Linked DNA regions of Canis lupus familiaris. The protein of the gene in region 1 interacts with the protein of each later gene in a pairwise test. Links are inferred from orthologs where the notes say so. Each region holds a gene or a part of one and is shown in the gene's direction. Other genes may lie near its edges. The genes, in order: MIF4GD, DDX19A, EIF3G and DDX19B.

The links.
Region 2: the proteins of MIF4GD (region 1) and DDX19A interact in binary tests that used the Homo sapiens proteins (3 or more experiments, as listed by UniProt). The two-hybrid records come from large-scale screens. The link is inferred for Canis lupus familiaris from reciprocal best matches to the Homo sapiens genes MIF4GD and DDX19A.
Region 3: the proteins of MIF4GD (region 1) and EIF3G interact in binary tests that used the Homo sapiens proteins (3 or more experiments, as listed by UniProt). The link is inferred for Canis lupus familiaris from reciprocal best matches to the Homo sapiens genes MIF4GD and EIF3G.
Region 4: the proteins of MIF4GD (region 1) and DDX19B interact in binary tests that used the Homo sapiens proteins (3 or more experiments, as listed by UniProt). The link is inferred for Canis lupus familiaris from reciprocal best matches to the Homo sapiens genes MIF4GD and DDX19B.

What each region holds. Positions count from the first base shown.
Region 1 is NC_049230.1:6,106,447-6,111,847, forward strand, and holds the end of MIF4GD (MIF4G domain-containing protein), read left to right. Parts: intron 1-154; exon of another isoform or gene 155-247; intron 248-1,146; 5' UTR 1,147-1,190; coding exon 1,191-1,278; intron 1,279-2,106; coding exon 2,107-2,216; intron 2,217-2,412; coding exon 2,413-2,568; intron 2,569-2,663; coding exon 2,664-2,756; intron 2,757-3,275; coding exon 3,276-3,503; 3' UTR 3,504-3,779; downstream 3,780-5,401. Other genes in the region: MRPS7 (28S ribosomal protein S7, mitochondrial), read right to left, coding at 4,307-4,528. UniProt on the Homo sapiens protein: Functions in replication-dependent translation of histone mRNAs which differ from other eukaryotic mRNAs in that they do not end with a poly-A tail but a stem-loop. May participate in circularizing those mRNAs specifically enhancing their translation.
Region 2 is NC_049226.1:76,932,641-76,937,581, forward strand, and holds part of DDX19A (ATP-dependent RNA helicase DDX19A), read left to right. Parts: intron 1-1,110; coding exon 1,111-1,288; intron 1,289-1,664; coding exon 1,665-1,902; intron 1,903-4,223; coding exon 4,224-4,386; intron 4,387-4,836; coding exon 4,837-4,941. UniProt on the Homo sapiens protein: ATP-dependent RNA helicase involved in mRNA export from the nucleus.
Region 3 is NC_049241.1:51,336,797-51,343,211, forward strand, and holds the start of EIF3G (eukaryotic translation initiation factor 3 subunit G), read left to right. Parts: upstream 1-2,243; 5' UTR 2,244-2,338; coding exon 2,339-2,358; intron 2,359-2,472; coding exon 2,473-2,519; intron 2,520-2,969; coding exon 2,970-3,053; intron 3,054-3,157; coding exon 3,158-3,246; intron 3,247-3,375; coding exon 3,376-3,435; intron 3,436-4,749; coding exon 4,750-4,854; intron 4,855-4,940; coding exon 4,941-5,130; intron 5,131-5,885; coding exon 5,886-5,993; intron 5,994-6,091; coding exon 6,092-6,228; intron 6,229-6,314; coding exon 6,315-6,415. UniProt on the Homo sapiens protein: RNA-binding component of the eukaryotic translation initiation factor 3 (eIF-3) complex, which is required for several steps in the initiation of protein synthesis.
Region 4 is NC_049226.1:76,887,726-76,894,086, forward strand, and holds the start of DDX19B (ATP-dependent RNA helicase DDX19B), read left to right. Parts: upstream 1-2,846; 5' UTR 2,847-2,869; coding exon 2,870-3,043; intron 3,044-6,361. Other genes in the region: AARS1 (alanine--tRNA ligase, cytoplasmic), read right to left, coding at 444-515. UniProt on the Homo sapiens protein: ATP-dependent RNA helicase involved in mRNA export from the nucleus.

The sequences.
Region 1 (5,401 bases):
GGACCTCGGGAGCACGCGCGGGGAGGACAGCGTCGCCGGGACTCCGGCAGGGGGCGCTGGCGGGGCGGCCCCGCCCTCCGCGCTGGCCCCGCCCCGCGCTGGCCCCGCCCCGCGCCGCGCTCGGAAATGACCTAAGCGGCGGCGAGGCCCGACCGGCCGCCCCAGCCCTGCAGCGCGGCGGACCGGGGGCGCGCACCATGCCCGTCGAGCGGCCTCTGGGCCCGCGGGCGCGGCGCCGGCCCGGCAGGTGGGTCCCGGCGCTCGCACGGCCTCGCCCGCCCGCGGGACCCCGGACGGCTGCGCTGCGCCACCCGGAAGGGGGTTCCGGGCTTGGGGAAGCCGCCCGGCTTTGGAGATGCCCGAGGTCGTCCTTGGACTCGGGGGGAGGCACCGCGTCCGGAGAGGGGACTCCAACGGGGACTGCCGGAGACGCGTCACCGGCTCCCCTCGTCTTTAGGAGGAAGGCTCCAGGATGGAGCTCCCGAGTGTGGAGTCCTGAGTGGGCAGGGTCGGGTTTCTGCCGCTCGGGAGGCCAGTTTACCCGGTCTGTCCCGGGGAGAAGTTGGCCCGGACCGGAGCGGATCAGCCCCGCACCCGCCCGCACAGGCCAGGCCGAGGGCTGCCGGCCGGGTTTGGGACTGAGGATTCTGACTACAGCCCAGGGATGAGTCGGGGCGGGGCGAGTGGAACCCTGCTGGGATGGACGTGTCCCGAGCCCTCGGCCCTGTCACTCTCTGGAAGTCGCGCTGGGCGAGCAGCTTCCAGGCGGGCTTCCGGAAAGGCAGGGAGCCGTCTGATATGCCCCCTACCAACACCCCCAGCGCAGTGCACCTCCCCCCAGCCTGGGTATCAAGAATAACTCTACCTCCTATGGAAATTGAAGGGTAGGCACGTCCACCTTCACCTCTTGTGTAACCCCAGAAGCTACAGGAGTTCTAAACAGCAGCAGGTGCCTGGCTGGTGCCCAGTCTCCACCAGAAGTCAAGCTTCCTGGGCCCTCAGCCAACCACCCAAGGCAATGGACTGGCCGGGAGCACCTGTCCCGAGCGCTGGCCAGCCCTGGCTAGCCCTGGCCGGGGCCTGCAAGGTAGAAACCAGGCCCTGCGCTGCACACCTGAGGCCTCTCCCTTCCCCTCTCCTTCCCAGGTGCTGTCATTAGTCCCTCCTCTGTAAAGAGCTGTGGGGGCTGGATGGTCATGGGGGAGCCTGGTAGAGAGGAGTATAAAATCCAGTCTTTTGATGCAGAGACTCAGCAGCTGCTGAAGACAGCACTCAAAGGTGAGCATGGGAGCCCTCCTGAGCTGTAGGGATGGGGCCAGTGGGATGGGCCTGGAGGTCTGAGCCTGGGAACATCCAACCCTTTGCTTTCTGAGAACAGGAGTCAGCAAAGTCACTCTTGGACGGCAGGACAAGCTACACTGAGGCCAGTAATTGAAAGAATGAATCATAGAGTCGCCTCTAGGGCAGCAAAGCCATTTTTTAAGGTTTAAGGACCCATGAAAGGGGGATGGAGCACAGAGAACGGAGTTCTTGTCTCCTAAGCGCTTACATTGGACCTGGCTTCCAAGTTGCCACAGCAGGTGGCCTTGAATGTGCAGAGCTGGCTGACTCGGGACAGAGGATGGAGCACTCTGCTTGGCAGAAGAGAGGCAGTAATTGTCCTGGACCAGTGCCTTCTGCAGCACTCAGAACAGAAGTTTGACTCAGCTAACAATTAGTAATGCCCATCACATGCCAAGCTAAGCCTGCTGGGGAGGCCCTGCCTGGCCCGCTCTTGTTAGGGGTTCATGTGTGTGTGTTGTAAGAACACTTTCTTCTGTGAAATTGCTGTCAAACACATCGTTATTCTGTGCTCCTTCCGCAATCTTAGTGCCAGGGAATGTGTGCCCTAAGAAAACTAGCGTTCTGTGATTAGTCTCCAACAGCGGCATAACCCAGCCACCAGCTGCTCCTGTGTGGTTACTTCTCCTGGTGTTTTCTGGTCTCTTTAAATGTAAGCATATCATGGGGGGTGGCTCCTTTGAAAACATCTCAAACTAGAAGCACGTGGAGACAAATGTAGTAATTCAGCAGCAACTCTAGACTTCCCACCTATCTCTGCCCTAGAGCCAGGTGCTGTGGACTTGGAAAAGGTGGCCAACGTGATCGTGGACCATTCTCTGCAGGACTGCGTGTTCAGCAAAGAAGCAGGACGCATGTGCTATGCCATTATTCAGGTGGGCTGGGACTGCAGAAACGCAGAGACGTTTTGGGAAAGGCTGAAGCAGAGGGCAGGTCTGGCTGCTGGCAGGACAGGAGCAAACGGCTTCCCTGAGAGGTGGAGTCAGACAAGAGGGTCCTCAGCCACTGAAGCTGGGAGGGGGGCCCACCATGGCACTGCCTCCGGCTCACCCTCCTTTCCCTGGCTCACAGGCTGAGAGCAAGCAAGCAGGCCAGAGTGTCTTCCGACGGGGACTCCTCAACCGGCTGCAGCAGGAGTACCAGGCTCGGGAGCAGCTGCGAGCCCGGTCCCTGCAGGGCTGGGTCTGCTATGTCACCTTTATCTGCAACATCTTTGACTACCTGAGGGTGAGGCCCTGGTAGCCACCCTGTGCAGCAGAGACAGCCTATCTCCTTCAGCCACTAAGCCAGGGCTCTGCACACCCCCTGCTCTCCCCCTACAGGTGAACAACATGCCCATGATGGCCCTGGTGAACCCTGTGTACGACTGCCTCTTCCGGCTGGCCCAGCCCGACAGTCTGAGCAAGGAGGAGGAGGTGGGTGATCCGGGTTGACAGCTGTGGAGGGGCAAGCCCTGGCTCGGCTCAGAATACCAGCCCACTGTCTGTGGAGGCATCCGAGAGCACCAACTTCCTAAGGCAGGAGCCTGGTGGGGATATTCAAGGCCTGTCTCAGTTCCAGGACAAGCTGCCAGACCTGGAATTTATCCAGAACAGAGAGCAGGCCAAACCTTCAGGCTCAGACGCTTTCTTCCCAGTAGGAAAGCCATCCTGTGATCGGAATCCAGCTGTGGATACAGATGGCCCAGAAAGGCAGTCTGGCAGGGCCGGGGAGGGGCAGAAAGCCTGGGTTAAGTGGCAGCTTAGAGACAGGCCTGGCATCCAGTCCAGCCCAGGAGAGCTCACGGGAGTCCTGAACTTGTCTCCATTAATGGAAGATGTGGCTAACACCCACCAGGTGGTGTGAGCATGACCAGGGAAGGCGTAGGGGGCCTGCGCGCAGCAGCTGTGATGGGCTAGCACCACCCTGGGGATCACATCTCCCGCCCCCTGCAGGTGGATTGCCTGGTGCTGCAGCTGCACCGGGTAGGGGAGCAGCTGGAGAAGATGAACCGACAGCGCATGGATGAGCTCTTTGTCCTGATCCGGGACGGCTTCCTGCTCCCCAGCGGCCTCAGCTCCCTGGCCCAGCTGCTGCTGCTTGAAATCATCGAATTTCGGGCAGCTGGCTGGAAGACGACCCCGGCTGCCCACAAGTATTACTACAGTGAGGTCTCCGACTAGGCCTCCAGCTCAGGCTGCCTCACCAGCAGCACAGGCCTCTCACCTACCCAACTCCCTGACTCTCCCAAAGACTGTCCCTTGCAGACCTTCAGTGGCTCCTGAGAAGTTCCTCACTTACATGGTGGTCCTGCCCTGAGCACCTTCTCTCCTGGATTCAGGGACTGGGGAAGACACCACACAGACCTGCCCTCACCGTCCCATCAACCTCTACCCCATCACCTCCAGCCTGGGCCATGCAGAGAAAGGCAGCTTCTAACACCCACTGCACTGTGTAACCACCAGTGCAAGAGCCAGCTTGGTGCCTCAGCTTCCCCATTTGTAAAATGGGTACCCAGAGCTACTGGTGGGATATTTTGGGATATTGAGGGGCAGAGCACAAGTCACCCCAGAAGCTGCTTTTTATACATTTTGTACAAGGACCACTTTGGAAACGAATGTATTTCCAGTCAATTTTAGTAAATGGCAGTTTCCATATCACATGCTACACCAGTTCAGGGCGAGAATTTTCTAATAAATCGTTTCTAATATTAAAACTGCTTCCTTTCCTATCATTCCAAGTTCTACCCTGAATTGAGAGAGAAGCTGGATAGGCCCTAAGTTCCTGGGGGAAATCCAGATTGATGTCTCCTCTTTGTGAGGAGATAGAGCAGGAAAGGCACGTCCAGCCCCCCAAACAAAGGACTAACAGGCATAAATACATTATTCCACCCTTAGGCTGGCCTGCCCTTAAAAAGGAACTACTTAGCCAGCAGGTGATTTTCACTGGGATAGTGGCTCCCATTATTTCTTGCAGTGGAGCACCTCTACCACCAGCGGTAGTGAGCCAGGGCACGGTTGGCCTCAGCCATCTTGTGCATGTCATGCTTCTTCTTGATCACAGGGCCCTGGTTGTGAAAAGCCTCCAGCAGCTCGTGTGACAACTTCTCTGGCATCAGCATCCGCCGGTGCTTCTTCTCCCTGCACTCCTTAATCATCCACTTCATGGCCAAGAAGCGACGACGCCGATCAGCAAGTGGCACAGGGACCTGGACAAGACGTGGGCAAGTTAGTCCAACAATTTGTCAGGGCTGCAGCCTCCCTCCTCCTTGAGCTCTAAGGAGTAGCCACAGGTTCCCTCTGAGCTAGCACTGACAATGCTCCTGAGGAGAGGGGCTTGGCTTCTCCTTTGTGAGTCCCCCTCACTCCCGGCAGATCTCAGTGCAACAGACATAGAGGCATTCATTGCACAGATGCTCATTAAGCAAAGACCTTGCTCACCTCTAAATGAAAGCTCACCTAGGTTGATATGAACATCAACTGGGAAAAGCCCCATCAAACTGGGGTGACTTAGCCAACTCAGATCAGGGGTGCCTAAAAACAAGACGCTCTTGTCAGTAAGTGTTTGCTAGACCACTACTATATGCCAGCTACCATGCCAGACCCTAGGGACACAGATGTTAATGAGGGTCTCCACGCTACATTAAAAAAGCAGATTAGAACACCCACTTGTAACACTGACACAGAAGTAAAAGCTGTGATAGAGCCTCATTCAATCTAAGAAATGGTGTCAAAACATGAGTCATGGGTCAAGCTCTAGACGTGGGTGTATAAAGACAAGTTCTACACATAGTCCTTCAGAAGAAGCTGACAATTTACAACACAGCACAGTGGACAGAACCGGGGTGGGGGGGTGGGGGCATCCAGAAAAGGTAATCTGGATACTTCTTTGCTCTCTTTTCTATCCTCTGCCTGTTGAGTTCTACACTAGGACTCAGGTGAGCAGACTGTGACAGAACCTGGTCCCTATAAAATTCAATCTTGACCCAACTCTGGGCCCTCCCACTCCCAAGCATTCCCCAGCCCACCCCTACCATCTTGTCTCATGGGTGGGCAGCCCTGCTTCCAGCCCTGACTGCTCA
Region 2 (4,941 bases), on another chromosome or scaffold:
TCAATTTTGACTTAGAGGCAGTGGACATTGAGAACTACATTTGAGTTAATTCAAAAATTTTCCAATGGATAACTGATGAATTTCTAATGAAAGGCCCTTCTCCTTAAATTAAATTTTGTTTTTAAAATAGTTATCCTTTCAACTTGTGAAGGTATTATGTGGTAGAAACTTTTTTCTCCCATATCCCCAACCACCTAGCTCTCCATTCTCTAGGCACTCAGTACTAACCAGTTTCTCATGTGGTGCACCAGAGATATTGTGTGGCTGCAGGCACATCGTGTGTGTGTGTGCGTGCATGTGTGCGTAAGTATGTAAATGTGTACACTTCATACATGTATATGTATTACATGTATTCGTTCTTTGCCTCTTGGTATACAAACTGCTTTGCAACTTTTTTTCACGTTTCATAATGTATTTTCGAGATTTTTCCTTATCAGTTCCTAAGTAGTTTTTTACTTTTCTTGGCATCATCCATTGTGTGTACCCTACTTTGCTTAATTAGTTACTGTTGAATGCCGGCATAGCCTTGCGTATTTGTTACTGTACACATGTTAACATACATACGGGGTTCATTCCTAATCATGGAGTATTGGTCACAGACTATGCACATTAGTAATTTTAATAGGTGGTTGTACCAGTTTCAACTCCAGCAGCTATAATTTGAGAGTAATGTGTTTTTTAGCACATGTACTTAGGAAGACTGTCTATATTAGAATGTTAACTAAAGCTCACTAGGCCAGGATCCTGGGACTCAAAACTACCAGTTGAAGAGAAAATCTGTGAACTGTGAGTGAATGTATGATGCAAAGTGAGTAAGAGTAACGCCAAGGAGAATGAGTAGGATAATGCTGAATTACAGGAGGAAACAGAAGAGAGACATGGCACTTACTGAGAATTCACTGCATAGGATTGAATCCTGACCACTATGCTGGGACATAGGTGCCATTGTACGACTTTAAAATAGAAGAATCCAAGACTTATGGATAATGCTCTTGTGTTTTGACATCTGGAATTAACTTGTTTTACTCACTCTGGAAGGATGGGCAAGGCTTTGATTTCCAAAACTGGTTTGCCATGGAAATACCCACGGAAAATGTCTTGTCTCCACAGTGGAAAGAGGTCAGAAAATCAGTGAGCACATTGTCATTGGCACCCCTGGGACTGTTCTGGACTGGTGCTCCAAGCTCAAGTTCATTGACCCCAAGAAGATCAAGGTGTTTGTTCTGGATGAGGCTGACGTGATGATAGCTACTCAGGGCCACCAAGATCAGAGCATCCGCATCCAGAGGTAGGAACTCTTGAGCCAAGAGGAACTTCTCGCCTCTTGATCTGCAAGTAAAAATCTTGTTCACTGTATCTCCTCCTGCTATATCTAACCCCTCTTCTTTCTCCAGCTGGGTTATTTGCTTTTAGAACCTTCAGAAGCATTTGTTTGATGGGCAATATCCTCGTCAGCACTGACCACGGGTTGAGGAAGGAGATTTAGGGAATCTAACACCAGCCCCGTCCCTGCCCCATGGCTGCTCTCGCCTCCTCCCTGCTGTTCTCCTCCCCCTTCTGCCACTCTCCTGGGCATGTGGATCACCCAACCCCGGGCAGCTGTCTTCTGTTCCTTCCAGGGAAAGACTCGGGATCATGCCACATACCTGGGTCTTCCCTTGCAGGATGCTGCCCAAGAACTGCCAGATGCTGCTTTTCTCTGCCACCTTCGAAGACTCTGTATGGAAATTTGCCCAGAAAGTGGTCCCAGATCCAAACATCATCAAACTCAAGCGTGAAGAGGAGACACTGGACACCATCAAACAGTATTACGTCCTGTGCAATAACAGAGATGAGAAGTTCCAGGCCCTGTGTAACCTCTACGGGGCCATCACCATTGCTCAGGCCATGATCTTCTGCCATGTGAGTAGCAGTGGCAGCAGCAGGCCTGCTGGGGGAGGAGTTGCCCTGGAGGAGGTGCTTGCCCCTCCTCACAGCCAGCTCCAACTAGGTGCTGAGGAGGACCAGAGGCCCTGTGTGGCCAGAAAGGAATGGTTTATAAAGATGTAGGATAGTGCTGTCTTAGTATCCTAAGGTATACATGGCTTAAAAATAGAGTTCCTAAGGGACTGGCTGGCTCAGGCCATGGAGCATGCACCTCTTGATCTTGGGGATAATAAGTTTAGGCCCCTTGTTTGACCTAGAGCTTACTTTAAAAAAAAAAAATAGAGTCTCTATTTGTAGGTGATATGTTACTAGACAACACAAGAGAATCAACTGATAATTGTAGGAAAAATAAGAGACTAAATATAGTAGCTGGTTACAAAATTAATATAAGTTGTTTTCTAGTCTCAAACAGCAAATTTTTTTTAAGATTTCATTTATTTATTTATTTATTTATTTATTTATTTATTTATTCATGAGAGACAGAGAGAGAGAGAGAGAGAGACAGGCAGATGCAGAGACACAGGCAGAGGGAGAAGCAGGCTCCCTGCAGGGAGCCTGATGTGGGACTGGATCCCGGATCTCCAGGATCACGCCCTGGGCTGAAAGTGGCGCTAAACTGCTGAACCACCTGGGCTGCCCTCAAACAGCAAATACTTAAAAAATAGAAGGCTAATAATTGATTATTTGTTCAATCATTTATAATTCAAGGATGTGTAAAACAGGAATGCACAAATAGATAAGTCACTATACTTTTTGCTCTGCATACAGTAACATAGTAACTTAAAAATAAAACATTGTCCTTGTGTCAAAAAAAAAAAAAAGGAAGGCTAGATCCTATTAATAGGAAAAAAATCAAGAATAAATATTCAGGATACTTGAAGAACACTTCAAAAATGTTGTTAAGGAAAAAGAAAACAAAAATGATGCTAAGGGATATTAGAATGAGACAAATCTTACTCTGTTACTAGAGGACTTGTCATTGAAAAAGTTTGTTTGTTTGTTTGTTTTTAAGATTTTATTTATTTATTCATGGGGGACATACAGAGAAAGAGAGGCAGAGACCTAGGCGGAGGGAGAAGCAGGCTCCATGCAGGGAGCCCGATGTGGGACTTGATCCCGGGTATCCAGGATCAGACCCTGGGCCGAAGGTGGCGCTAAACTGCTGAGCCACCCAGGCTGCCCCTGAAAAAGCTTTTTTAGACTGTTACCTTCGGATTGAAAATTGCAAATCTCCAGAAAAGATGAAAAAAAAAAAAAAAAAGAAACTGAGCACTTTTATGCCTTTCACCTATTGTTAACATTTAGCCACTTTGCTTTTTATCCATGTGCTCACATGTGTGACACATCCGTGCTTTTTGGTTTTGGTGAAGTTATTATTTTTAATTTTTTGGAAAGATTTTATTTATCTGAGAGAGAGTGCACATGTGCGTGAGCATAGAGGAAAAGGGAGAAGCAGACTCCCTGCTGAGCATAGAACCCGATACAGGGCTTCATCCTAGGATTCTGGGATCATGACCTGAGCTGAAGGCAGACGCTTAACCAACTGAGCCACCCAGGTGCCCCTTAGTGAAGTATTTTAAAGTTAGTTGTAGAGATCATGAGAGTTTACACCTAAGTACTTCCCAAGAATGAGACATGCTGCTACATAAGCCCAATACCATTGTCTACCTTTAACAATGACATAATAATATTATCCCCTGTCTAGTCCATCCATATCCCATTTTCCTCACTTGTACCAAAAACCTTCTTTATTGTTTTTGGTTGGTGGTGTTAAATGTAAGAGCCAGTCAGAAATCATTGCACTTAGTTGTCCTGTCTCTCAAGACTCCTTTAACCTGGAACAATTTCCCCACCTTCTGTGACTCCAACATATTGAAGTGTCCAAGCTAGTAAGTAGTGTTAAGAATTTCTTTCATTTCTCCCCCTCGTGATTATATTCAGGTTAAATATTTCTGTGAGATAAATATCCAAGTAACATTGTTACTTCCTGTCACAGCATGTCATGTTAACAGTTTTAGGAAGTTTTGTTTTTTTTTGTTTGTTTATTTGAGAGAGAGAAGGAGCATGAGTGGAGTGGGGGGAGACAGAAGGGGGAGTATGCAGGAAGCCCGACATGGGGCTCAATCCCAGGACCCTGAGATCACGAACCAAAGGCAGACACTCCACTGAGTGAACCACCCAGGCGCCCCATCATTTTAGGAAGTTTAACCATCAGCTGGTAAGTTTCAGGTAGAGTCTTCTAGATCAAAAATATTCTTTCAGATACCTTGATTTCTCAAATGTTTCCTTCTTTGCAGACCCGTAAAACAGCTAGCTGGCTGGCAGCAGAGCTCTCAAAAGAAGGCCACCAGGTGGCCCTGCTGAGTGGCGAAATGATGGTGGAGCAGAGGGCTGCGGTGATTGAGCGCTTCCGAGAGGGCAAGGAGAAGGTGCTGGTGACCACCAACGTGTGTGCCCGCGGTGAGCAGAGAATCTGTCTGCCAGGCCCTGAGTAGCAAGGGAAGTCCTCCTGTATGGGGCGCTCTGCTGGTTCGGGGCGAGTCCACATGGGCTTGGTGCTGGCATTCTTTCCTGGGAGAGACTGGATTCCCCCAGCAGATGAGAATTGTCACAGAAGCCAGGGGCCCTGATGTGGTGGAAGGACAGGGACAGGCACCTCACTGGTCCAGAATGGCACCTTCTCTTTGGGGCCCCCAGTGAGGTTCTGGCTGCATTACTGATGTCCTAATTCTGTTGGCACCCTGCCAAAGTTGTCTTTCCCTCTGGATTCTGCTAGGTGCCCCTTGGCCCCAAATCCCAGAGCCAACCTGCCCCAGACTCTTCTTCCACATGAAGCTGGTATATGTTGGCCTTGCTTGGCTGGTGGTGATTTTTGTCTCCCTTCCTGACCTCTCCACCTCTTTCATGCAGGTATTGATGTCGAGCAGGTTTCTGTCGTCATCAACTTTGACCTTCCCGTGGACAAGGACGGGAACCCGGACAACGAGACCTACCTGCACAGGATCGGGCGCACGG
Region 3 (6,415 bases), on another chromosome or scaffold:
AGAGAGAGAGAAGGAGCAGGGGAGGGGCAGAGGGAGAGGCGACTCTGCTGAGCAGGGAGCCCGACGCGGGGTTCAGTCCCAGAACCCTGAAATCATGACCTGACCTGAAGGCAGAAGCTCAATCGACTGAGCCACCCAGGTGCCCCTCTTTAAATTTAATTTCAGGGCAGCCCCAGTGGCTTAGCGGTTTAGCGCTGCCTGCAGCCTGGGGTGTGATCCTGGAGATCTGGGATCGAGTCCGCGTCGGGCTCCCTGCAAGGAGCCTGCTTCTCCCTCTGCCTGTATCTCTGTCTCTCTCTCTCTCATTCTCTGTGTCTCAAATAAATAAATAAATAAATAAATAAATAAATAAATCTTTAAAAAAATACATCTAATTTCAATCCAGTTACATTTAATTTCTCCCTAATGATAGAAAGTAAATACTTAGGCATAAGATTTTGTCTAGGAGAGTTGCTTTTGGAGAGCCACCAGCCATTGTAATAATATTCAAGGTGTTTTGCTACCCAAGAATTCATTTTAGCCCCCTTGGGAGCCACGAGGCTCCCACTGAGAATAATACCCTACAGGGACGGCTGGACAATAAACAAGTGAGTGGGAAGGATTATATCAGAGAGCCAAGAATGTTGCAAAAGAAAGGAGGAAGAGGGGCAGAGGGGCCCTCTGACATCTTGATCATTTGAATCAGGAAAACTCTTCCCAGACCGGGAAGTCCAGCCTGGATTCTTCACCACCTGCCACCATACAATTTCTTCAGAAAATTATAATTTCCCCCTCACAGTGCCTGGCCTACAATAAGCTCTCGAGAAGTGAGCTTTAGTGTTATTAGTACCTTTAAATTTTTTTTTCTAAAAACTGGATCATTTATGTGTCTGTTCCTTTTCTTTCTTTTTCTTTTTTCTTTTTAACTGGGGTTCCATTCATTTAGTCCTATTGTTCATGGACTGCTACTTTGTATATAAAACATGTAGAGATCATTTAAGGTTTTGGGCTCCAGAGAGGAATTACTTCTGCTCTCTGGCATAAAATTAGAATAGGAGAAGGTCATCTTTTTTTTTTTTTTTAAGATTTTATTTATTCATGAGAGACACAGAGACACAGGCAGAGGGAGAAGCAGGCTCCATGCAGGGAGCCTGATGCGGGACTCATCCCGGGGCCCCAGGATCACGCCCTGGGCCGAAGGCAGGCGCCAAACCGCTGAGCCACCCAGGGATCCCGAGAAGGTCCTCTTAATTCTTGAATCTGGACTAGCTAGTCCCCTTCCCAAATCTTATTTTTGATATTTGTATTATTTTTCACTTTGCCCATTTTCATAACATTTACATTCTGTTCTGTGCTCATGACCTCCTAATTGTTTAGCGTTCATTCTAGTTATAAATGGATTCATTGTTCAGCACTATTCACTATACTCACATTTTTCTATTTCTGGTTTATGTATTATTATTCATCTATGAGTTAATTAGACTTCATCATTAAGCACTGTCCTTATTCTTTTAATAGGGTCCTTCCATACATTCTCTCATATTTGAAAATGTGCACAAGTCACCTTTATATTCAACTGATATCTTGGTCTTGATACTTCTGAGTCATAGTCCGCTCGCAGTTTTGTGCACGTTGCTCCATTGCCAACTGGCATGGAATGCTGGTGTGGCAAAATCTTAGCTCAAACTGATTTTTCTCCTTTGTTGGTGATTTTTTTAAAATTTTTTATTTATTTATGATAGTCACACACACACACACACACACACACACACACACACACACACACACACACAGGCAGAGGGAGAAGCAGGCTCCATGCACCAGGAGCCCGACGTGGGACTCGATCCCGGGTCTCCGGGATCACGCCCCGGGCCAAAGGCAGGCGCCAAACCGCTGCGCCACCCAGGGATCCCTGTTGGTGATTTTTTTTTTTTTTTTTTTTTTTTTTTTTTTTATGATAGTCACAGAGAGAGAGAGAGAGAGGCCGAGACACAGGCCGAGGGAGAAGCAGGCTCCATGCACCGACCGGGAACCCGATGTGGGGTTCGATCCCGGGTCTCCGGGATCACGCCCCGGGTCAAAGGCAGGCGCCAAACCGCTGCGCCACCCAGGGATCCCTGTTGGTGATTTTTTAAAAATAAATTTATTTTTTATCGGTGTTCAACTTGCCAACATATAAAAGGTGAAATGAATGGAATGAACGAAGGGAGGTGCCACGGCCGGCGCCTCCGCCTCCGGCCGCAGGGGGCGCTGTGGGCGCTGCTGCCGGGCTGCTCTGGGCCGCGGCGCAGGAAGTCTCGTCCTCCCCCCACTTCCGGTCTCTGGCCCGGGACTTGTGCTGCGTGGAGGAGGTTTTGAAATGCCGACCGGAGATTTTGAGTGAGTCGAGGGTCGCGGAGCGAAGCCTGGGAGGCGGCTTGGGGGCCGTGGGGGCGCTCCTCGGGGCCTGGCCTCGCTGACCCAGCCTTCCCCTCCGCCACCTTGCCCTTGCAGTTCGAAGCCCAGCTGGGCCGACCAGGTGGAGGAGGAGGGCGAGGACGGTGAGTACGCCGGGTCGCCCCGGGTCACGGGCGCCTGCGCCGAGCCGGGCACCGCCGTCCGGTGCCGCATCTCCCCCCGCGCCTCCCGCCTCCCGCCAGCCTGTCGCCACTTCCAAGTGTCCGGCTGGCCGGTCCCCCCGCTCCCTTGCCACCGCCCAAGCCTCACAGCTGCTCCGGGGAGGAAGCTGTAACAGCCAGCCTCCTGCTTGGGTGCGAGCGCCGGATGTCTTTATGGGCTGCCCCTCGCTTTCATCCTTGCCATTGCGCGAGATTACTCAGCCAGCGCCACGGCCTGGCACGGCTAGCCCAGGGCACTTGGTCCCCAGGCCTAAGCCCTTGGCCCTGCCGTCTAGGCCCCTGGTGTGGGCGTCATCCCAGAAGTCCCTTCATTTTAGCTTGGGAGCCCTCGCCCCTCCAGCTCACCCCTCCTACCCACACTCCCCTTCCTAGACAAATGTGTCACCAGCGAGCTCCTCAAGGGGATCCCTCTGGCCACTGGCGACACCAGCCCAGAACCTGAGTTAGTGCCGGGAGGTGAGTGACGCCCTCAGCTCCACTCGGGGCTCCCTCTCCCCAGCAGCATTCCCCTCCCCCTCCATCACCCAAGGCTCAGTTACTTCCCCTCTTCTCTCTCCCAGCTCCACTGCCGCCTCCCAAGGAGGTCATCAATGGGAACATCAAGACAGTGACAGAGTACAAGATAGATGAGGATGGCAAGAAGTTCAAGGTGAGGCTGGGGGAGGAGTTGGGGGCCCCTTGGCCCGGAGGGGATGGTGTGTGTGTTGGGTAGGTTGGGTTGATTAGCTCCAGAGCCTTGAAACACAGGAATTCGGAGCCTCTCCCCTCCCCTCCACAGATCGTCCGCACCTTCAGAATTGAGACGCGGAAGGCCTCCAAGGCTGTTGCAAGGAGGAAGGTGAGACGCTTCTCCTCTTGTCTTAGAGGCTCTCCCAGGGCTGGCTTGGAGGAATTAGGAATCCTTTTTGTTGACAGCGTTTTGATCTGATACCTTTATTTTTAGAAGTGGGGTTCAACTCTGTCTCTATTCTGTTGGATCAAGGGGGTTTAAGGTTGAGGGGTGTTTGTGCTCTGTTGGGACCCTGAAAAGTCCAGGGTGCAGAAGTTGGGTGGTTTAGATTAACTCCGCTCAGCTTGTTTACTTGTTTACCAGAAGGAACAGAGCCAAGCCCTCCCCTCAGGCGGTCATAGCAGCTCCTGTTTAACTGGGCTACATGCTTAGGAAGAAGTGATAGCTGTAAATAGCATTGGCACAATTTTCGGTGGACTTCCTCTGTGCCAGACCTCAATGGCAAGTGTTTTGCAGGAAGTGTTTTCTCATTTGCTACCCCTAGCCGTCCTGGGAGGTGGGGAACATTTGAGGTCTCCATTTTAAAGGGGAGGAAGCTGGGATCCCTGGGTGGCTCAGCGATTTATCGCCTGCCTTCCACCCAGGGTGTGATCCTGGAGTCCTGGGATCGAGTTCCACGTCGGGCTCCCTGCACGGAGCCTGCTTCTCCCTCTGCCTGTGTCTCTGCGTCTCTCTCTCTCTGTCTCACTCTCTCATGAATAAATAGATAAAAATCTTAAAAAGGTGGGGAAGAAAGCTGAAGCCTAGGTTTTTTTTTTTTTTAAAGATTTTATTTATTCATGAAAGACACAGAGAGAGACTGAGGCAGAGATATAGGCAGAGGGAGAAGCAGGCTCCGTGCAGGAAGCCCAATGTGGGACTCCATCCCAGGTCTCCAGGATCACGCCCTGGGCTGAAGGCGGTGCTAAACCGCTGAGCCACCCGGGCTGCCCAAGCCTAGGTTTTTTTTTTTTTTTTTTTTTTTTAAGCCTAGGTTTTTTAACTATCTCAAGGCCCCTCACAGTCTGGGTGACCCCTGGGCGTCACTTCCTTATGGGAGCTGGCCCACCTCCTGTCATGGGTGCCTCAGGAATGGTTAACTGTGTGACTGTTTCCCCCTGGGCCTTGGTTCTCTCCTCTGGAACTTGGGCTGAGAGCCGTCCCCACCTCCTGGAGCTGGCCTGAAGCTAGCGGCTAGCACATGCCAGGAGTGGTACACGCTAGGAAATGGGAACTGTCGTTGTCACCACTTTTGGGAGACTTGGGGGAGGGAGAAGAATGTGGTTCAAGGCTGAAACACCCTGAAGGGAGGGCTTTTGTAGGTCGAGTGGTGGTGGGGGTCCCACTTGCCCTTACAAGTCCCCCATCCCGCCCCGAGCCCAGAACTGGAAGAAGTTTGGGAACTCGGAGTTTGACCCACCAGGGCCCAACGTGGCCACCACCACAGTCAGTGACGACGTGTCCATGACATTCATCACTAGCAAAGAGGTGAGTTGGGCAAGGGTCTGGGCCGGTGGCTGTGATGGTGGTGGCCAGGGTGTGGCAACCCTGCTCTGACTGCCACCCCCCCCCAGGATCTGAACTGCCAGGAAGAGGAGGACCCGATGAACAAGCTCAAGGGCCAGAAAATCGTGTCCTGCCGCATCTGCAAGGGCGACCACTGGACTACCCGCTGCCCCTACAAGGACACGCTGGGGCCCATGCAGAAGGAGCTGGCTGAGCAGCTGGGCCTGTCCACCGGCGAGAAGGAGAAGCTGCCCGGAGGTGCCTGGGCCTGGGATTTGGCTTGGCGGACCACGGGGTGGGGCGGGTTGCGTGCACCTCTGGGAGTGTCCTCGGTCTCCACCCGCTGCTGTGAACGGGGCTGTCCGCATCAGAAGTTGTCCTCTCTCACTGGCACCAGCGCTGCCAGGCTGTGGTCTGTGTGAGTGTGCGAGACCAGCGGGGTGGTGCCAAGACTGCTGGTAACACCACCGTTGTTCCGTGTTGGGCTGGCGAACCGTTCCTTTATGGGTCTGGCTGCGTGTGCTTGAGACTTGGAGCTGTGATTCTGCTGCAGACTCTGTGATCAGACTGGAGTGTGCCTTGTTTGCCACAGAGGGGACCATGGCCTGTGTGCGTGGGTGTGTGCACGCACACGCGCAGACTCGCACATGTGACTGCAGCCTGTGTCCATGTCCTTCAGTGTGATTTGCTGATAGTGGGTTGACTCTGCAAGTTTTACAGCTGTGATTCGGTGTGCAGCACATTTGTTAGCTGCCATGAGTGTGGGGCCCGGGGGCTGCCCCTGCATGTTCCTGTGTTCTTCTAGCTCTCAGCCCTGGGGCTGCCAGTGGGATCTTGCTCTGACTTGCCAGATGTGACCTTCATGTCCTGGCGGCCAGTGGAACAAACCAGATACCTGTGGCTTGATAGACGGTGCCTGGGCTGGGTCAGGGCCAGAGCTGCCAGCGCCCTGGGGTGGATCTGTCCCTCACCTGTGCCAGGGTGAGGCCTGACCCAGCTGCTTTGGTCTGCAGAGCTGGAGCCCGTGCAGGCTGCCCAGAACAAGACGGGGAAGTATGTGCCACCGAGCCTGCGGGATGGGGCCAGCCGCCGTGGCGAGTCCATGCAGCCCAACCGCAGAGGTGAGTGGCGGGTGGGCACCTCTTAGTCCCATGGTCATCCTTCATTCAGGGCCTGGTTAGGGCTGTCCTCTACAAGCTGTCGCTCCTTGCCTGTGTAGCCGACGACAATGCCACTATCCGTGTCACCAACCTGTCAGAGGACACTCGTGAGACTGACTTACAGGAACTCTTCCGACCCTTTGGCTCCATCTCTCGCATCTACTTGGCAAAGGACAAGACCACTGGCCAGTCCAAGGTGGGCGGTGGCTGTGGGGATGGGTGATGGGGTCACCTGTCCTAGTTGTGCCCTAAGGGCCTCTGACTCTACCCCCACTCCTCCAGGGTTTTGCCTTCATCAGCTTCCACCGCCGTGAGGATGCCGCACGAGCCATTGCTGGGGTGTCTGGCTTTGGATACGACCACCTCATCCTCAACGTTGAGTG
Region 4 (6,361 bases), on another chromosome or scaffold:
TGGGACATGAGGAAGATAACAGCTCAAGATAGTACAACTTAAATACTTAGTTTTGGAAATATGTAGTCCCAGATCCTAATTCTCCCATGGCACCTAAAATATTTTTATCATCTATAAAATGGACTTAGATCTTTCATTTATTTGCTATCAGGTCAAATGAGAGTGATTGAATAGTTTTCAGACCATAAGTTTTTAAGGAAATACCTGGTATCCTAAAATACAGATCCTGATTTAGTAGGTATAGGAATGAGGCCTGAGACTGCATTCTGATAGGCTCCCATAGGTACTGATATCTATGATGCTGCTGCTGCAGCTGCTGGAAGATCACACCTGGAGTAGCAAAGGGCATAAACTAGGAATGAAATTCTTCACCTATGTTCAAGGATAAAGATTTAAAAGTTTGACATATTTGGGGGATGTCCATTCCTCATCTAGTCACTCACCAAATGGGTATCCATTATGCATTCGTCTCTGAAGATCAATATTAAGGAAAGCAGACAATGCCCTGCCCTCATGAAGCTTCCAGTCTAGCAAAGAGCTGGATATTCAGCAAAATATGACAAAATTCAATATGCAAAGGGCCCCTTGCTGACCTAGACTCAGCCTTTAGCTTCTAGGCCCACTTGCCGGAGGCTGGGTCGTCCCCTCCGCTGATTGGCCGGACCGCTTCAGGCCCCAGCCAATGAGGCGGGGGCAGTGAGTGGCGGTTGGTGGAGGCAACCGCCCTGCTGAGGGGCGATGGCCGGGGCTGCCGGCCGCCTCCGAGGCCGTGCCCTGGGGCGCTTTCCGCTTTCCCTGCCCGTGGGCGACGTGAGTATCTCTGAGGTTAGAAACGAGACCCTTTTTCCACATTTTAGCGTCTTCCTCACCCCCATCCCTGGAGGGGAGAGGCAGGAATAGTGGTAACAGCTAATATTTATCAAACCGTTGCCATTGACCAGGCAACGGTTATATCACATAACCGTGTGACTGTTGAATCACTGAGCGGTGCAGTGGGTACTTAACCCACTTAAGAATGACTTCAGAGAAGATAGAGGCTGCCGAGGTCGTGTGGGAGGAAATCCAGAAGGCTACCTTCAAATCCGGGGGCTCTTATGACCTTGAATCCCCTCCACGCTCCACTTTGTAAACTAGAGCGCTTCTTAGCAGGTGGCTCATATTGTGCTGGGTGCCTGGGTGGGGATAGAAGACCCTAGAATCCTGATGCTTATTAAGTTTTGGGGTTTTTAATAGAGAAAGTAACATGTGCTAAAAGCGTTTGTGGGAAAGATAAACACCAAATTCAGGAGAGCTGCTGTCTCTTGGGATGGTCATACAGGAAGCTTCCATCAAATCTTGTTTTCATTCTTAAACCCTAAGGTGGGAACCTATGGATGTCTATTGTATGCATTCCCTTTCTTGTTTGTCTGAAATACAATTTTAAAAGGAAAACATGCACATTGAAAATTTCAGAGGATGAAGTGTACACATCAAAAAGGAAGTCTCTCCCACCCCAGATTTCTAGAGCCCCTCACTAGGAGCAGCTGTTAGCAGTTTTGTGTGTATCTCATACATTTTCTATAGTACCTACAAACACATGAGAGGTTTTTTTTTTTTTTTTTTTTATCTCCTCACAAGTGGATCCTACTATATACAGTATTGCACTTTGGATGATTTCCTTTTTAACCGCATTAAACTTAAAAAAAAAAAAAAGTCTTTAGCCTTCATTAGCCCTGTGATCAATATAACTTTGCTGGCAAGATATTCCCAGGGCTGCTTCCGATATGAGATGTAGGTCACGGCTTCCCTCACTGTGTGTTTGCCTTTTTCTTTTTGCACGTCCTTCCTGTAGGTTCCAAAAAATAAAAAAATCTTCACCAAATTAATTCCCTCAAGAGTACAGGAGAAAAAGAGCCATGGCAAATAAAGTATTGCCTGGAACTGCTTTACCTTTCCTGAACTTTCTTACTCATATTCTGAAGTAAAATCCCACATAGAGCCCACTACTGCTTAAAATTAATTTGCTGAAGAAAAGTGGCAAAGAGAAGTGAGGATTCATCTTCTCACCTTGCAGGAAAATGCCCAGCTTCTTATCAGTGAAGTAACAAGGGGAGAGAACCTTGTTTGTTTTCAGTTAGGGGATAGCGGGTGTCAGACATTATTATTTTACCTCTTCTAAAAATCCAAGGTATTTTTTTCCTTTTAAAAAAATTCCCCCAATCACACAACTCTTACATGGAAGCACTAGGGATTCCATTCCAGGCACAGCTAACTCCAAAAGTCCTGTCAGATTCGCGATGTTCCCTGGAATGAATTCATTTGCTCATTAAGCTGCTTTGCATGGCCCATTGCCTCTACCTCCAATCTCTTCATCTCTGGTTCTTGTCAATCCCCGCAGGAACTGTGTCCTTCAGACACAGGCCTCCTGGCCTTTTCTCTCCTCTCCCTGGAACACATTTCCCTAGCACCTTCCTTGAGTATTTTTGAAAGTGAAATTCCTGCAAGTCGTGTTGCCGACATAGTCTGCAGGACAAACTTTTAACCAAATGGTGCTTGACATGGCTGATTGCCAACCCCTGGGCATTGAAATGACTGTCCTGAAGAGAAAAAGATCGTCTCAATACGCATTTTGGTGACGCCTGTATTAGTAAAGGTCCTGTGTTTTGATAGATTGGCTCTCTATGAGCTTCTGTGCCAGCGCGCTCGTGGCCTGGAGGTCCAGTTGGCAGTCTGCGTCTCTGTTCACCAGGTAGACAGAGCTAAGCAAGGGTCAGCGCCGGGGGTCCGAAAGCGACGGAAGCTGCAGCTCCCGGGGGGCGAGGGGCGGCTGGGCGGGCGCAGATCCGACGTCACTGCGGCGCGCCGCTTCCGGTCCCCAGCTCCCGAGCGAATGACTGCTCCCTCGGTGGGGCGGGAGCTGGGCTTGCTGCGACGCCAGGGAGCCCACGATCGCGCCGCCCCAGCCAGCGAGTCTGCCAGCACCAGCGTCCCGCCGGCGCCTGGGACCATGGCCACCGACTCGTGGGCCCTGGCGGTGGACGAACAGGAGGCGGCGGCTGAGTCGGTGAGTTGGCTTCAGGCGTAAATGGGTCAGGGGGTCAGTTTTGGCCGGGGATCACCCTTGTGTAGGACACTCGCTGCTTTGGCCAGGACGGTATAGGATGCGTGTGAGGCTGGAGCCTGAACCTTGAGCTGGCTTTGTTTATCCATCCGCCTCCTGGGTTACATAAGAGCAGGTGAGTGCTCCCATGGATCTAGCGCCCAGCCGCCTGTCTTCTGGAATCCAGACTGATCGAGATTGCGCTCTCCCCACTTGGATTATAATCTCCCTGTGTCATTCCCTACCTCTGGATTGTGAGCTTCCTGAGCTCTGGGATTGTGGCTTACTCATCTTTGTGTGCTTCCTTACTTGCTTACTGATGATGAATGAACGACTCCATTGGCCCGGTAGTCAGTAAATCCTCTTCTCTGATCACCTTAATTTTGTTCTGGGCTTAGTACACAGTAAGCAAGATATGACTTAAACATGACTATGTGGAATTAACTCCTTCCACCTAAACACTTTGAACCTACTTCTGTTAGTACTTCTGTGAATTTCTTGAGAATAAGGACTCTTTCTTATTTTTTATACAACTGATAATAAATTATATGCACATAATTCAAAGAGTCAAGTAGTTTTGAAAACTGGTTCCACCACCACCAATTTTTCCTTCCCAGAGAAAAACTAATAGTTCTCTTGAAACGGATATACATCATTGACCTCCTTGTTCTCTAAATCACAGGGTTTTGCTAGTTCTTGAATTTTCAATTTTAGGTATTTACTGATTTTAATTCTTTCCTCCATCCTTTCTCCACCACACACGCACACCTTCCCATTCCTTACCTTTTCATTATATTGTAATTTTAGTTAGATCAGTATTTCATGTTTATCTTATTAGTAGCTTATGATACTTTTACTTTCCTATAAAGTTTTGTTTTTCCTTGGAATTTATAAAAAACACGCTTCATGGTTTTTTTTGTACTTATCACCAGTTCAACCTCAGGCACTTTGCTAATTGTTTAGTTTATCTCAGGATGTTCAGACAAATTAAGTATTCTATTAATTCGGGGGGCCTGGGTGGCTTAGTCAGTTAACCAACTGACTCTTGATTTCAGTTCAGGTCACAATCTTGAGGTGGTAAGATCCAGCCCCATGTGGGGGTCCGTGCTCAGTGTGTAGTTTGCTTAAGATTCTCTCTCTGGCCCCTCCCACTGTTTCATAAATAAACAAAAAAACTTATTATTTTTAAAGATTTTATTTCTTATTCATGAGAGATACAGGGAGAGAGGCAGAGACATAGGGAGAGGGAGAAGCAGTCTCCCCACGGGAGCCCAATGCAGGACCCGATCCCAGCACCCTGGGATCATGCTCAACTACTGAGCCACCCAGGCGTCCCTAGAATCTTTAATTTTTATTATTATTTTTTAAAGATTTTGTTTGTTTATTCATGAGAGACGGGGGAGGGAGGGTCGGTGCAGAGACACAAGCAGAGGGAGAAGCAGGCTCCATGCAGAGAGCCTGACATGGGACTCGATCCTGGGTCTCCAGGATCATGCCCTGGGCTGAAGGCAGTGCTAAACCACTGGGCCACCTCGGCTGCCTAAGAATTTATTTATTTATTTATTTATTTTTAGAATCTTTAATTTAAAAAAAAAAGTCTATTAATTCTATTTCCCCCAGGTCTTTTAGCCTACTTCATACTGGACTAGTTCTCCCTAGGTTTAGAGCAGAACTCATTTCAAGGACTGGAGAGGAACAAGACAGATTTCCCTTCACCTTCATTCTGAAGATTCACTCCTCTTCTCTTGTACTGGATCCCCTCCTTTCTGTATCCTCTCTTCATCTTTCTTGATTTTGTGCAACCATCCATCCAGCTTTCTGGAGTATATAAGAAGTTTTTTAAAGATAATATTGCATTTCTGGAAATAATTATTTTGCTCTATCATTTGGATAGTGGTATGGCTCGGTCTAGAGCTGCAGGTTGGGAATTAATTGCCTACCAAATTTTAAAGGCATTGTCTCATTGCCTTTTAGACTTCTTTATTGGTTATTGAGATGTCTGAGACCATTCTGATTCCTGATGTGACCTGTTTTCTCATTTGTAATCCATAAGAATCTTTTTTTTTTTTTTTTTTTTTTAATTTATGATAGGCACACAGTGAGAGAGAGAGAGAGAGGCAGAGACACAGGCAGAGGGAGAAGCAGGCTCCATGCACCGGGAGCCTGACGTGGGATTCGATCCCAGATCTCCAGGATCGCGCCCTGGGCCAAAGGCAGGCGCTAAACCGCTGCGCCACCCAGGGATCCCATAATCCATAAGAATCTTCTATTTGTTTCCAGTACACAGAAAACTCATGATAATGAGTCCTGGTATAGGTCTGTTTTCATCCACTTTGCTGGGCACTGGGTAGGTCCTTTCTTTTCTTTCAATTTTATTTTTAAGTAATCTCTACAACCAATGTGGAGCTCAAATCCACAACCCTGAGATCAAGAGTTGCATACTCTTCTGACTGAGCCAGCCAGGCATTCCTGGGTGGGTCCTTTCAATCTGGAAAATTCTTGTCCTTAAGTTATGAGAAATTTTCTTGAAAAATTTCATTATTGATTTCTCCTCCTCTGTTTTCTCTTTGCATTCTTTCAAGAATTCTTACTACTTGACTGTTGGACCTCTTGGCCTGGCCCTCTAAAATTTTTAAGTCAAGTTTATTGAGGTATAATTTACACAGTGTAAAACTCATCCTTGTTCTGTGAATTTTGACTAAGGCATCCAGTTGTGTAACCACCACCACAATCAAGATACAGAACAACAACAACAACAACAAAAATTAAAAAAAAAAAAAAAAAGATACAGAACTTTTCCACCACCTTCAAAAAGTTCCCTCAGGGATCCCTGGGTGGCTGCAGGGATGGTGCCTGCCTTTGGCTCAGGCCATGATCCTGGAGACTGGGGATCGATTGGGCTCCCTGCATGGAGCCTGCTTCTCCCTCTGCCTCTCTCTCTGTGTCTTTCATATGAATAAATAAATAAAATCTTAAAAAAAAAAAAAGTTCCCTCAAACTTTCAGTCACTCCCTTCTCCCTTCCTTTTCTGGCAACCGCTGGCTTGTTTTCTCTTTAGATTTGCCTATTCTGAACATTTTATATAAGTAGAATCATACAGTATGTGGTCTGTTGTGTCTGGTTGCTTTCACTTAGCATAATGTTTTCAATGTTCATCTATGTTGCAGTAGGTATCAGTACTTGATTCCTTGATATTGCCAAGTAATATTCCTTTGTCACATTTTATTTATCCATCAGTGTCCACTGATGAGCATTTGGATTGTTTTCTACTTTTTCATTATT